Linked DNA regions of Caenorhabditis elegans. The protein of the gene in region 1 interacts with the protein of each later gene in a pairwise test. Each region holds a gene or a part of one and is shown in the gene's direction. Other genes may lie near its edges. The genes, in order: csq-1 and hmp-1.

Region 1 (6,544 bases):
CACTGTTCACATTATTCGTCAGTGCCAATGTGAACCTACAAAAAGTGTTCTCTCTGAAAAGTGACAACTTTAAAGTGAAAACAATTATCCCTTGAACTCCTAGATCCTCGATTTTTGACATGTCATATTCCAATTGTAATATTATGTTGTTACTTGTGGGGTTGCTTGAATAGTCACTTCAACCATACCTAGGCATAAAAATAAGGCCAGTTTTCAATTTTCAAGAAATGAACAACTTTTTGGAGTACACAGCAATTTCACAAGGACCACTATATTTTATCAATTTACGATTCGAATTTTTATATTTTATTTTTCAATTTCCAAATCCAGATTCTCAACGATACCACATAAAACGTTTGCTTTACCAGATTCTTCCTTGCCACGTCAATTCACTAATTCCACAAACGAAATGCAAATCCCATAATACTACCCCGATCGCTGATTTACTGATCAATCCTTGAAAAATCAAGTTTTTGTGTGGTGTGTTGGCTTGAGTGATCGCAGACGCAAATAAATTCGGATAAATGTGCCCCCCTACCAAGCGGGTAGAGGGTGATATGTTTGCCGATTTATTGAGCAAGATGAGGAGTAGGGCGAATGGCAGTATTAGTTAGCGGTACCGATTGATTTCATTTCGCAAATTTCTACGTCGAAGATGAAAAATTATTTCGAGCAGTGACGTCAGTCGGTTGGTTATGATGAAGACTGCCGTTTGGTTTTTGAAAGCCGAATGCTATAGATATTCTTTGCCAGATGTGTGGGCAGATGAGGAACACTTTTTTTTTGCGAAAAGTTGATTTAAAAACAAATGTTTCGGTGCAAAAAAATGTTGGCACCGAAATATGAGCTGTTACTTGGAAATCATGTTACCTTTGTTCTGTTCTGTTAATTCCCTCTAATTTGAAGATATCCTTCAGTATAACAATTTTTCCGTGTTCGAATTATAATTGAAACATATTTTTAAAACAATTTTATTCCGAAATTTAGAGACACTTCGAAACTAAATATTTAATCCAGAACTCAGTTAATTAATTTACAGTAGCTGAACCCCGAAAAGTTGTAACTCAAACACTTATGTTTCTTTACTATTGTTACACTATTTTCGATCCTCAATAACATTTTAAAGTGGTAATTCCTAAGCCTAAATATGAGAATAAAGTGTTTTTGGTGGTAAACTTTTGATGGATTCTATGTAACGCCCTAAACGGATTTACTGTGGTTCGACGCGAGTCTCAGTGAATGTCGGCTGCGCGATTTTATTAAGTGTATTTAAATTTTCAAAGTAGACAGTGTGAGGAATGATATCATGTTTCATGTGTTTTTCTCCTATGCAAACATCTACTTGAATGCTTGTACGGTTATTTTCAAGTTGCCAGCTATGAAAAAAGTTGGAAAGTTGCATGTTCCCCTCACGTTATTGATTTATTAGAGATATGAACTCTTCCAATTGCCCCCACAAACACTGTTGCCTCACCTCCAATCTCGCCCACACTCCTTCAGCTTCTTCATCTTCTTTCACGTAGTTTTTGTTTTCATCTCGACAAATATATAGTGTAAAGTCAATCAGTCACCGGAGGAAAAGGCGCCTCAGGAGCTTCCTGCTGTGCTCGTTTCGCTACCTCGGTATCAAGCTTATTCTCAGCTCCCCCCTTTACAACGAAAGCTGGCGGGGCCCCGCGGATGGCAGTGGAATTGTGTAAGAATAGCGATCAAAGAGAAGAACATCAGTGCCAATGCAGCAGCCGCCAACAGCTAGCGCGGACCTTTTCCACACACTATACCCTTTGACTTTTCTATCCTTGTTTCGTGTCACTTTTTTGTCTTCTTTTTTTGAAAAGATCTCCATGCACATCCTTCCTTCCTTTTATCTCTCGCTTTTTTCTACAGCAAAAAATAAGTTGCGTTGTCTTTAGAATGACTTGGATCAAACTTGCTAGCCTTGCGCTAGTGGTTGTGCTTGCAAGTGCAGGCATCTCCAAAAACGAAGACTTGGAATGCATGTTCTTAGGATATCCAGATCTCGAATACGACGGATTCGACAGAACTGAGGTGAGTTATTTGGATATAGGATTTATAATGTCTATTTTGTCCATTCTGCAAATCTTTTCTGAAAATCTGCAAAACTACCGATTTTGTTTTTTTTTTTACAAATCAAAAATGAATGTACATAGAAATAAATGAGAATTTTGTCAATTTTGTCAATTTTAGTTGGCAAGAGTTGGCGAGAATTGCCAGTGAACTTTCAGGCTTTTTTTCTTTTTCCTTCTTAGGCTTTTTTTCCGTTCAAATTTGCCAATAAAAATATTATTTTAGAGTCAATCAACTTTTTAGAATCCAAAATTACCAAAATACCAAAACTGAACAAGTTTCTAGATTTTTCAACAATTTATCCACTAACTAGAAGGTATAGTTAATAGTTATTTGGTTAGAAGCGATTTTTTTAAAAAATTTTTTTGAAACATTATTCATTAGTATTATCGAAAAAATACGATCGCACACATTTCTCATAATTTACTTTTGATCTACCTGTTGTCTCCGCCCCCAATCTTGTCGCCGTTGTTATTTTGTTGTGGCTGTCTTGTCGAAGGAAGGGGAGGAGCCTCGTCAACAAGGTAGATCAAAAATAAATTATGAGAAAATTGTGCGATCGTATTTTTCGATAATATTTGAGTTTAAAATTATCAATAATTAAATAAAAACAACTTCTAAGCAGACTATAGATTCCTATAGTTAGTTCCTATAGTTCAAAACTAAAAAATTTTGAGAACAATTGTTCTCGACTATCTTGATCATCATTTTTCATTTAATTCTTTAACTTAAATTACTCAATAACAAGACATTAATTTAACTTCACAATGTCAGTAAACAATTGCGTCATTCTAGCAAAACTTGACCTATAACAAAATTTTCGACATCCGGGGTTTTCGAACCAACCTATCATATTACACTGCAACAGATATTCATCTTCACTCAACAAAAAAAAATCAATAATTGCAGGTTCTGACCGAGAAGAACTTCAACAGAACTGTTTTCGCTGAAGACACCAAATCGGTAGTGTTCTTCAACGACGTGGAAGAGGACGACTCAGAGCTTGACCAGTATGAGTGCTTCCTTCAGGTGAAATTCAAAATTTGATAGTTTATTTTTAATTTATGAATTTTAGTTGTCTGCTCAAATTATGACCAAGAGAGGATACAACTTTTACACTGTCAACACCACCAAAGAACATCGCTTGAGGAAGCAGGAAGGTAAACATTTGCTGTTCCACAAAAACTTAAAAAATATTCCATATTTTTGTGTCATGTTTTCAAAAAATTCAATATTTGTATTACATGGTTATAATTATTGAAACGTACGTATTGCTAAAAATTAATTGTTCTATGCCAAAAGTAAAAATAGAAATATGATGTTTTACCTCATATTTTTCCATTTCTTGAAAGTTGGTACATATCTTTTTTGGCAAGATTGTACATTTCTTTTTCGTAAGTTGGTGCATATCTCATTTATATGTACCCACATTGTAATGCTACGAAATTTTGAAATGTCCGTTTAAAGTCATGAATTGATTTTTTAAAGTGGGTCTCGTCACGATCTCATTCATAGTGGCTGCTACAGGTGTCAAATTTTACTTTTTTTGTTAATTTGATTTATAAAATATTTTTATAAAAGTTCAGAATTTGAAATTCACGGAAAATTTAACATTTAGCACGTAGTGTGACGTTTCCGAGAATGGACCATAATCGAATATTATTTTTACCAATTAATCATTTTATGTTGTCGAAGCTTCACAAAACTTGTGGAAACTTAATTTAAATAAAAAAACATTTAAGAATTGGTTAACCTTCTAATTCTTCATTAATTCTTGATTCAAAATTTCAGAAGTTGAAAAGGGAGAGGACACTATTCACGTGTACAAGGATGGTTACAAGATCGAGTACAATGGTGTTCGTGATCCAGAAACTTTTGTTTCATGGCTGATGGATGTACGTTATTTATTAAGTTTTTGCTAATTCCATAAATTATTTTTCAATTTAAGATCCCAGACGATCCAGTGACTATTATCAATGATGAACATGACTTGGAAGAGTTTGAAAATATGGATGACGAATGTGTCAGAATTATTGGATACTTTGAGCCAGGATCAGTTGGTACGGAATGTGAACAAGCTGTCATGCATAAATTTTAAAAGAATTTCAGCTCTCAAGGAGTTCGAGGAAGCCGCTGAAGACTTTATGGGAGAGATCGAATTCTTCGCAGTTGTGACATCTAAAGTAAGTGTTGAGAGCATTTTTTTTCAAAAATGTATTATGAAAAAGTATAATAGATGTTGATTTTTCATTTTTGAATTATTATATGTACCCCAATTTTCACGCTTAAATATCAAATATGGTACTTGAAAAAAAATAACTTAAAATCGATATTCTTTAATAAATGTATTTTTAGTGGGCACGCAAAGTCGGACTAAAGAGAGTCGGAGAGGTCCAAATGCGCAGACCATTTGAGGAAGATCCACTTTTCGCCCCAACTTCCGCTGATACCGAGGAAGAATTCGAAGACTGGGTTGAGAAGAACAAGGAGCCAGTTATGCAAAAACTCACCCTTGACAATTACTTCAACCTTTGGGTATGTAAAGTTTATATCCTTGCTAGAAAAAAATAATCGTGCTCCAGAGAGATCCCGAAGAGGAGGAGAGAATGATCTTGGCATTCGTTGACGAGGAAACCCGTGAGGGAAGAGCCATGAAGAGGCTCCTTGACAAGATCGCCGATGAGAACTCCGAGCACGCTGGAACCCTGGAAATCATTCTTGTCGACCCTGATGAGTTCCCACTTATGGTTGATGTGTGGGAGGATATGTTCGGAATCGATATTGAGGAAGGACCTCAAATCGGACTTATTGATATTTCTGAGGTAGCAGACTCTATTTTATTTGTCAATTAATAGAATGTATATTTCAGAAAGAAGGAATCTGGTTCGATATGTCTCAAGTGAATTTGGATGATCCAAAGAAACACTCCGACTCCAACTTCGAGGCTCTCCAATCATGGATCGATCAGATTCTTTCCGGATCTATTTCTCTTGATGGTGAATAACTTTTTCAACTAAAAATCTATAAAAAATAATTTCAGATGATGATGATGATGAGCCAGAGCCACCAGCACCACCACCAACTCCAAAGGGAAAGAAGTCTAGAAAGGAGCTGTAAAAAAATCACGTTTTTGATCTACCTATTCTTATTTTTCACGTATTGTTATCACACCTTAAACACTTCTTTTCATGACATTTTAATGGTTGCCGCTTGGTAGTTTCTTCTAGTTAGACACAATGTTTTCGTTCAAAATAAACTTTTTTGGAATTTCAATACGGCATTGTTTTATGCTACAAGTGACCCTAATATATAATAAAGAACAAATGAAATAATTAAATGTTTGTTGTAAAAAGCGTTCAACTCTGCAGTGATTTAGGATGTTTTGCCTCGGATGCCAAGGATCTATATATTTTTGGTTTTAGCATCGTATTTAGTAAAATTTTTTATTGTTTTGTAATATGCCCACACATATATATATATATGTATATATATGAATTTCCGGAAATTTTATCTTGTAGGTCACATGTCTAGTTGCTCATTGCAAAACGTTTTTTCCTGTCCAAGCTCATAATTTTCAAAACTCCATCGTCCAAAATTCTCCACTACTTTTTTCAATATTGTTCCACAAAAACCAGTCAGATGATTGACAGTCCTCATTTTCATTGAGTTTTTGTTCTGACCTTAGACATACATACATACACACATTGCACTCAGAAAATAGCAAAAATGCCCGTTTTAAATGCAATGAGAACCAGAAACAGTGAGGGTGAGTGTCAGCAAACTACGTTGCGAAGCAAAGGCAATACGATAATTACCATTGTGTATGTATTGGTATGTCTTTCTTTCAAATTTCCGTTAGATGAAAACAATTATGGGCTACCTTGAGACAAAAAGGCAACACATGGAACTGTGGAGTACTTGGTGAAGTTGAGTTGGAAATTGCAAGACAGTTTGTCACCAATGAAAAATGTGTAACAATTTTATGTGAAAGCCTTCCATTTTTGTTTAATATCATATCTAGCTGACTGGTGAGTATGTACATGTTGGGTAAGTCCACAGTACTTCCTTAATACTTGACAACTGTTGTGCGGCGCAAGGTGTTCATATCAGTGTTTATAACATTAATTTCTGACTATTTTGACAGATGTGCTTAATTTTGAATTTAAATACCAAATAAATACATTAAAATAACGTGTTTCACAAGTTTTTATACTATTTTTTCAATTGCATATATTTAAATAGTGATTTATAAAACATGGCTTTTCATGGACCGTCTCAATTTTCTTGAATTATTTTAAAAATCTGTTACCTGGAATATATATATATATATATTCCTAGTGTATATCAGGGCTGTGCGGCAACCAAGATTTTCGGCAACCTGCAATTACCGAAGTTACCGAACCCTAAAAATTTTGGCAACCGGCAGTTGCCAAAGTTTTTTCAAGGTTTTTTTTCG
Region 2 (8,733 bases), on another chromosome or scaffold:
ACCTGGGGTCAAGCTGAATTGAGGAACATCTTGGCCACACTTCGTAAAAATTCTATAAGTATCTTAGTAACTCCAGTGAAAAAGTTCAATAAGCCGGCAACAGTTACTAGATTTCCGTAAATTGTCTATGAAAGTTTAGACAGGAGAAACCTCTTAAAATTGGGACAAAATAGACTCTAAATCAAATTATTATTGAACATATTTTTACAATAGCACAGATCGTGTTGCAGTGATTAATAATGTTGTTGATATCATCTGAGAAAGTTCAGGTTCTCAGAAAAATGCAATCTCAAAAATGTACTTTCCCTGATTTTTCCTAGTTTTTTTTCTTTTTTTTCACTTCAGTTCACCCCCGCGATTCAAAGTTTACAAACAGCTGCTGCCGTGTACAAAACGTGATTCAGACTTCTCTATGACTCAGATTCCACTTTTTTGAAACGAGAAATTGTTTCGGTCGTATTCAAATTTAAATTTCAATACCCAATATAAGAATATGATGATGATGCATCAATTCACTGTCCTTCCATATCCCTCAGAATTATCCCTCGAAATCTCCGAATAAGACGTAGAAGACGTCAAAACAAAAGGGAAACTTTTTGTCCCTTTTCCATCATCTTCTCAATACTCCTTCCATAAAAGTCCTTTATTTCCGGGGCGCACACTCACACGCTGCTGCTGCAGTTGCCCCAACATAGGCCATACGTACCCAATTTTATAATCCATGGGAGTCGGGCAAACAAACTCAATTCGGTCATCTTCTCCATCTGTCGAGTCTCTGCTCATCCCGAAGGGAACCGTCCTGCTTCCGTCCGTCCCAATGTCTGTGTCTCTTCATCTCCATTGACCAGTGTCCTTGCCTCTTCGTCCTCTATTCCCGCCGCTCGTCCGTTCTTATACCCTTCTCTCCGCTCACTCGTCACCCGCTGACTGACCGACCGGCCAACCCGACTGAATCATCATTTCTTTATGTGTCTTCTTTCTCTCTATATTTAACAGTGTCTTCGTACACCGGTTGATGGTGCGGAATCATCGTTTTCACCATATTCACTTCTCACTCGCAAATACCTCAAAAGTTTGCTTTTTGTGACTTTTTGGCTTCGCAACTTTTTTATTTGAAAATTTTTGAGTGTGAAACATATATTCAACATGGCAAATAAAAACTAAGTTTCTTCATTTTCGGTCGAAATTTTAATTTTCGAATTTGTTTTTTTCTTAAATTTTATTTAAAAAATAGTTATTTCCTAAATTGCCGGCATGTGAAACATAATCCCCTATTAATTGTTTTGTTTTTTCGTTGAGTAAACACCCGAAAGGCCTCACAGGCCCCACCACACTTGTTTCTCGCTATTTTGCGAAAGGATTTTTTATTTTTTTCATTGAAAATTTAATTTTTAATTTTTGAAAAGTTAGAGTAAAGATTTTTATTTTATATGAGTCATTTTCTCAAAGAATAAGTAAATTCTGTGTTTGCCAATAAAGTTTAACGGTGACAGTACCCTCTTGGATCTCTTTGAGACCAACCACCCCTTCTTTATCGTGCGCCTTCAAATCTAACAGTAGTTCTAATCGATACTTTAATGTAAGGTTATGTATTTCTTTTTATATTTTTTGATTTCATCTCAATATAAATATTATTTCTCTTCGTTTTATTTGCATTCTAATCTGAATTTTCAATTTTATTAATTTTCAGAATGCCTGCGAATGGCAATTCTCATGCGTATTTCAACATCGACGAAGTGCGCTCGAAAAATGTTTTGAAACAAATTACTCAATTAATCAATGAAGTGACCAACATCACTGAAACGTTTCCGTTAAAACCTGGACAAACTACTGAAGGACTTGTCGCCACTCTTGATGCTGCCGTTGCTAATTTTCTTCAAACGGGAAGCTTTGCAATTTCGAAATGCCCAATTGCAAACAGTGATCCACGCGCAATTGATTTATTGCACGAAGCTCTTGGAGCAGTTCAAGATACTGGGCAAGTGATGATTCAAACTGGAAGAGATTTTGTCAGAGATTCAACTTCAACAAACAAACGAGCTATTGCAACGAATTCTGGTAGAAATTTGTTGACTGTAAGTTTTTAGGTACTCTTTTAACTGAAAAATGTTGTATTCAGGCTGTCGCTAAATTCCTAATTCTTGCCGACTCGATTGATGTAAAAGTGATAGTTGATAAAGTAGATGAAGTTCGAGAAACTGCACACCAAATGATTGAAGCGGATACAAAAATCAAAGTAGATGATTTGTACAATCTTCTCATTTCTCAAATCGAAGAACTTGATATCACTGTTCGACGACGAGCCATTGATTTGGTTAAACCAAATCAGAGAGATGATCTTCTAGCAGCAAGATCAGCACTTCGACAGACTGCACCACTTCTGTATACTTCAACACGAACATTTGTAAGACATCCAGAACATGAAGAAGCTCGAAGAAATCGTGATTACACTGCAGATGAAATGCATTCTGCTTTAAATGCTCTTGAATCTGTTTTAAACGGACAACAACCGAAAGTAACATTTTCTGAATATGGAAGAATAGGCGATCTTATCAATGAAATCGATACTTTTCAAGTGAGTTTAAAAATTTCAAATAATAAGACAAATAATTTATTTTAAGAATCGAATCGAAATTGATCCAGCCCATTATCGTCGAGGAACTGATCGTCCAGATCTTGAAGGACATTGTGAACGAATTGTTAGTGGTTCTGCTTCAATTGCCGATGCTGAAAGCACTCGTGAAAATCGAAAACAAAAAATTGTTGCTGAATGCAATAATTTGCGGCAAGCTCTTCAAGAACTTTTGACCGAATATGAAAAATCTGTAAGTTTTTTCTATTGATCTCTTGACTTGTTGCCTCGTTTAAAATAAAAAGAAATAAAAAACATTCAAAGAAGCGCATCTTTTTCACAAAAGGGCGATGGAGACGGTGAGAACAAACAAACAAACAATCGTGCGTTCTTTCAAGTGTGACGCCTTGTCCCTCAGGGCGAGAACAACTGTTTTTGTTTGTTAACCGAACTCGAACTAAAGCCGTTTTTTAGAAAAAAAAATGACCACCGCGAGTTCAGACATGGAAAATGTTTTTTTTAGAATTTCGGGGAAATTCTTTAAAAAATTTGTAGTAGTAGAAAATATAGAGACTACAAAGTTTTTACAATAAAATTTAAAGCTTATTACGACCTGTTTAACTATGTTTTAAATCTGTAATTTTTCAGACCGGCCGAAGAGATGATAATGATGATATTCCTCTTGGAATCGCAGAAGTACACAAAAGAACAAAAGATCTCCGGCGACACCTTCGTCGTGCAATTGTAGATCATATAAGTGATGCTTTCCTGGATACCCGTACACCGCTTATTTTACTGATAGAAGCTGCTAAAGAAGGCCATGAAGAGAATACAAGATATCGTTCAAAGATGTTCCAAGAGCATGCAAATGAAATTGTTTCAGTTGCTCGTCTTTCTTGTCAACTTTCATCAGATGTTGAAAGTGTTAGTGTCATTCAGCATACGGCTGCTCAACTTGAAAAACTTGCTCCACAAGTTGCTCAAGCTGCCATCTTACTTTGCCATCAACCTACTTCAAAAACTGCTCAAGAGAACATGGAAACCTATAAAAATGCTTGGTTTGACAAAGTGAGATTGTTAACGACTGCTCTTGACAATATCACTACTTTGGACGACTTTTTGGCTGTCAGTGAAGCACATATTGTTGAAGACTGTGAGCGGGGAATCAAAGGTATCACGGTAAGTATTTTAGTTCTCAAAATTTTAAATTTAATGAAAATTAACAAAAATAGTTTTCGCTAAATTCGTCAACTTTTGAGACGTTCAAACTGAATTTTCCAGGCAAACGCTTCAACACCGGATGAAAATGCGGCCAACTGTGAAACTGTCGACTGTGCTGCCGGATCGATACGTGGACGAGCTCTCCGAGTCTGTGACGTTGTCGATGCTGAAATGGACTTCCTTCAGAACTCTGAATACACTGAAACTGTTAAGCAAGCTGTTCGGATTTTGAAAACTCAACGTGTAGATCAATTCGCTGAGCGTGCGAGCGCTTTAGCCAACCGTCAAGAAGCACACGGACTTACATGGGATCCAAAAACAAAGGAAGAAGAAATGAATGAATTTATCAATGCTTGTACATTAGTTCACGATGCAGTTAAAGACATTCGACATGCACTTTTAATGAACCGAAGTATGAATGATGTTGATTCGGATGTAGAGTATGAAGCTGATGGTGTTGGTGCAGCAAATGCAGATGCTAATCGTACGATATCCGAACAAGAAAATCAACAGAATCTGATGAGACGATTGCCAGAAGAAGAGAAAAAGAAAATTCAAGCACAAATTGATATCTTCAAAGTAACACAAACACGATTCGAAAGAGAAGTTGCCAAGTGGGATGAAACAGGAAATGATATTATATCATTGGCCAATAATATGTGTAAGATTATGATGAGTATGACAGAATTCACAAGAGGTTGTGGGCCATTGAAAACGACAATGGATGTTATCCGAGCAGCACAAGAAATCTCACTTAATGGATCAAAACTAAATGCATTGGCACGGCAGATTGGAGAAGAAAGTGCTGATTCGCAGACGAAAAAGGATTTGCTCGCATATTTGTCACAAATCACTCTATATTGTCAGCAACTGAATATTTGTAGTAAGGTGAGTTTTTTTAATTGGTGCCACGAGCTGTAAAAGCGTACCAAATGTTTTTGGTCAATTGTTTGTTTCGGGGGTTTTTTAAATTTGTCAAATTAGTTTTTCAAGAAAATTGTAAAGATTCACAATTAAAAACGCGTCTATAAAAACTAAAACTGAAAAGAATCTCGTATTTTTCAGAATTATCTGAAAAGTTTTTGAAAAAATTGAGAATTAAAAAAAAAAACTTATAGATAGTGTGATATTTCACCAAAAGAGGTTTCAACTGTTTTTAACGATTTCAGTAGAGATATAATTTTACTTCGCGTTTTTTTTGCGAACCAAGCTCTAGACTGAAGCCATGAAAAATGAAAAAAAAATTGTGATTGGCCTCACTTATACTAGAAAATTGTTCATATACTTACTATAAATAAGTTTTGTTTAAATTGCTTTCAAAAAACCATGTGAAATATAACTTTAAACTTTTAATAGAAAGTAATATTTCAGGTGAAAGCTGATGTGACTCAAGTTGGAAATGAGCTTGTCGTATCTGCACTTGACTCTGCAATGTCTCTTATTCAAACGGCTCGAAATCTTTTAACTGCTGTTGTACAGACTGTTAAAGCTGCATACATTGCCAGTACCAAGGTTGGTTCCCTTTCTTTAAACAAAACATTAATTATTATTCCCACTTGATGTCTGATACTATTGCTTTCCAGCATTTATCACACATTTCTTTTTTCGTACAGACGATAACGGCTGCTTACGTAATTCATTTCAAATCAGATGGTATTTCGCCCACTCTTTTGAGTAGACACGTGGTTTAAAGTGCCAATAGACCAGTTGCCTTTTGTACACTGAATTTTGAGATTTTAGAAAGTGTACCCAAAAGTTTTAGAAAATTAAATAAATAAAATTAAAAAAAAAAAAAAACATTCTCAATAGTGTGCACAACGCGAACGTGCTCGAGTCGAATCAGCCGTTGCGCTTAGCGATGCTCACAAAGCTATTAATTATGAAAGTCCGATGGATGAATCTGGTGAGAAAAAATGAGAAAGCATTAAATATCGTGTTGTGTGGTTTTATCGATGTTGTTTTTGAGAAAAAGAGATATTGAGCATGTCGAATTTAATTTTTTGCTTTTTTCTCAAAATTTACGTTGGCTGCTGCGTAATTTAATGGTAAATATTTTTTATAGTTAAAAAAAGCTTATGTCTTGAGTTCAAATCAGTGGTTAAGACTATTAATGTTTGACGATTTTTTTTTAATGGAGTAGGGATTTTGCTTTAAAAAAATCCAGAATAGTTTGATTCTCAGAAATACCCAAAAAAGAGAAAGAATGAAATGTCGAATTTTCGAAAATCAGATTTTTCAATTTTTGGCGATTCCCTATTTGAATTCTCTCAGTTTGGTGCGAATTCAAACATGGAATTTAGCCAAAAATTAAAAGCAAAATCTCAGATTTTTATAGATTTCCTGAATCCTAGAAAATACAAATTAATTTTCATTATATTCCAAAAAAAAGAAAACAATTCCAGTTAAATATGTTAATTCAAATTGGTAAGGACATCCCTTTCTTATTTTCCCTTCACACTTAAAAATCGTTTTCCCAACAAAAAAACATTTAACTTTCTAAAAATGCATTGTATCGGTCTTGATGTGTGGACATCGATCCCCCAATATGTCGGTCTTGTGATCTTATACTCCCCCGTAAAAAACTCATACATTTTAAACTAGATTGTATTGCAACTTTAACTAAGAAAAGAAGATTAAGTTGAAAAAAAAACTTGAAAGAAATTGATACGAACGTAAAATATGTGTTATTGTTGATGAAAAGTGTCTCGATGTTGTTTGCTGTTGGTTTCATTTTCTTAAATTGCTCGAATGCTTGGAATTCTTTGCTGATAACTTCCTGAAACTCATCCTTATTCTTGCAGTTCCGTCGTCCTAATGCCAACAGTGTACGTGTCGAGTGGCGAATGGCTCCACCAAAGAAACAACCACTAATTCGACCACAAAAGAATAATGCTATAATCAGGTAACGTTTTCATCTATTTTTTTTGAATCAAGGATCCCTCTATAAGTGTTTCCTTTGCCTGCAAAAGGACATATGACACACTTCATTGAGAAGCCATGTGAAAAAAAGTAGTCGGTCCCTGAATAATTCATAAAAAATAGCACTGCCACCAGAAAATGGCACGTAGCTGCCATTGTCAGTAGTCCCAAGTCCCTTTTTTTGTGGTAAAAGTGGTGAAAGCCGAAAGAGCTGCGACACCAAAATGTATATTCTTGACTTGTTGAGCAAAAGTGTATCCCTTGAGGATCATAAATGCAAATTGAGTTTTCGGAAAGCAAAAAAAAAGCGACAATGTTCATAAAAAGTGATGAATAGTTGGATGATTTCGGACATTGAAATGAAAGTTTTAAAGCATCAAAAAACACAATTTTTCTTTTCTTTCAGAAAATTTTCCCCCCCTGAAAAAATTTTTGATAAGATTTCAGACATTTTTTAAACCTATTAAACTAAATTTTACGATTTTGAGATGCACCCCGTAAATCGACACAAGCGCTACAGTAGTCATTACAATAATTACTGTAGTTTTCGCTACGAGATATTTTGCTCGTCAAAAATATGTTGTGCAATACGCATACTCAGAAGTTGGTGTTCCCGTGATAGGTGATCACTAATTCTTGATCATTATCTATTCCATTACAGAAAATTAATTAGAATCCCCCTTTCAAAAGATGTATTCAACGAACGCCGACTAATGTTATAAAGAGTTTGCAGACGGGCATCCGAACGGCGACCTTTGCAACCAGCTAAAGTGCTCGCCGAGTTTACGCGTAACGAGATTGAGACGGGTCGTGATAGTGACGACGAGGAACTTGATCGCCGGCATCAACAAAGAATAAACGGTCGTTTATAGATAATTTATTTCAGTTTTATTCATGTATCTTCATACTTTTCCCTTCCAAATCTTTCCACACATCCTTTATATGCCCGAGTCTTTATTATTTTCTCATTCTTTCAATTCTCTTCAGCTAGAAATTTGTATCTGTGTATTTTTTGTATTCATTTCTGTTTAATGCTCTAAATTCTATCAGCTCATCACCGCCACCATTATCACCGCATTTTTCATTTTTCTCCCCCATGAATATCATAATCCATACTGTTGAAAATCAGGTAACTTTACATCTTTACAATTTATTTTCGCACTATCAACCTCACCCTTTCAACGATTTTTTCTGTATGATTCTGATTTCTAAACTCCCTGATCTATGTGCACAAGTTTTTCAAATTAGATGAACTCAATTCTTTCCTATTTTTATTATGTATATAGACATCAAAAAGGTCTCGTACATCTGGCACCGTCAAAATTGTTGTGCCTGAGCATTACGAGCAGCTGGTACTAAACGGAAGTGTGTGCAACAACTCTCCTTCCACCCTCGCCTCCTTCTTCATTTGTACTACGTTTTGCTTTTCCCCTTATTCTCTTCTCCTGGACTACTAGCAACAGAAAGGGAGGAGGACATAATTGTTTTTTTCTTCAAGAGAGACTTCCCAAATGGATATCCCCTACTATTTTCACACATTCCCATATTGCCACCCATGTTTTCGCTTCAAGACCCAATTTCAATTCCCTAATTTCCTGCGCATTTCCGTGTTTGCACACGCGGCGAGTTACTTTTTAATTTCCTGAAAGCTTACGCCTCCGGGTTTTCCGTTTTTTTTTTTGCTGCTGTTGCTGCAGAAAAATCCTGGAAATCGCGTGCCTAAAGTGTATGGAACGCTGCTTACAGAATTTCCAACGAGATTCTAGAATATTCAACTTATTTTTCTTTCGAGAGACAAAGTGATGGTGGTGACCCAAATACTAATTAGTACTATTTTGTACGCTCATCTTGCTCCAGCGTCCTTATTAGTCTCATTATTTTGGGGCGAAAGTTGGCTGGTTTTTTGTCTCTCGTCATTGTTTTGGATGACCATAGAACATCTTATTTAGAAACTTGTTAGTAGAACTACGTTACAAAGTACAGTAACTCTACAAATCTCCAAAATGTGGCAGCCTCATTTT

The links.
Region 2: the proteins of csq-1 (region 1) and hmp-1 interact in a two-hybrid assay, tested with the Caenorhabditis elegans proteins (one study listed by BioGRID).

Annotation. Positions count from the first base shown.
Region 1 is NC_003284.9:14,682,964-14,689,507, forward strand, and holds csq-1 (Calsequestrin), read left to right. Parts: upstream 1-1,913; 5' UTR 1,914-1,914; coding exon 1,915-2,049; intron 2,050-2,997; coding exon 2,998-3,117; intron 3,118-3,163; coding exon 3,164-3,248; intron 3,249-3,879; coding exon 3,880-3,983; intron 3,984-4,036; coding exon 4,037-4,148; intron 4,149-4,197; coding exon 4,198-4,271; intron 4,272-4,443; coding exon 4,444-4,623; intron 4,624-4,670; coding exon 4,671-4,910; intron 4,911-4,957; coding exon 4,958-5,084; intron 5,085-5,128; coding exon 5,129-5,205; 3' UTR 5,206-5,359; downstream 5,360-6,544. Other genes in the region: slt-1 (Slit homolog 1 protein), read left to right, coding at 1-64.
Region 2 is NC_003283.11:11,844,187-11,852,919, forward strand, and holds hmp-1 (Vinculin), read left to right. Parts: upstream 1-1,690; 5' UTR 1,691-1,691; coding exon 1,692-2,075; intron 2,076-2,119; coding exon 2,120-2,575; intron 2,576-2,621; coding exon 2,622-2,825; intron 2,826-2,897; exon of another isoform or gene 2,898-3,120; intron 3,121-3,220; coding exon 3,221-3,751; intron 3,752-3,853; coding exon 3,854-4,681; intron 4,682-5,164; coding exon 5,165-5,305; coding exon of another isoform or gene 5,306-5,353; exon of another isoform or gene 5,354-5,602; coding exon of another isoform or gene 5,603-5,710; exon of another isoform or gene 5,711-6,594; coding exon 6,595-6,695; intron 6,696-7,436; coding exon 7,437-7,584; 3' UTR 7,585-7,979; downstream 7,980-8,733. UniProt on the Caenorhabditis elegans protein: Required for cell migration during body enclosure and cell shape changes during body elongation. Required for proper localization of other junctional components, such as pac-1.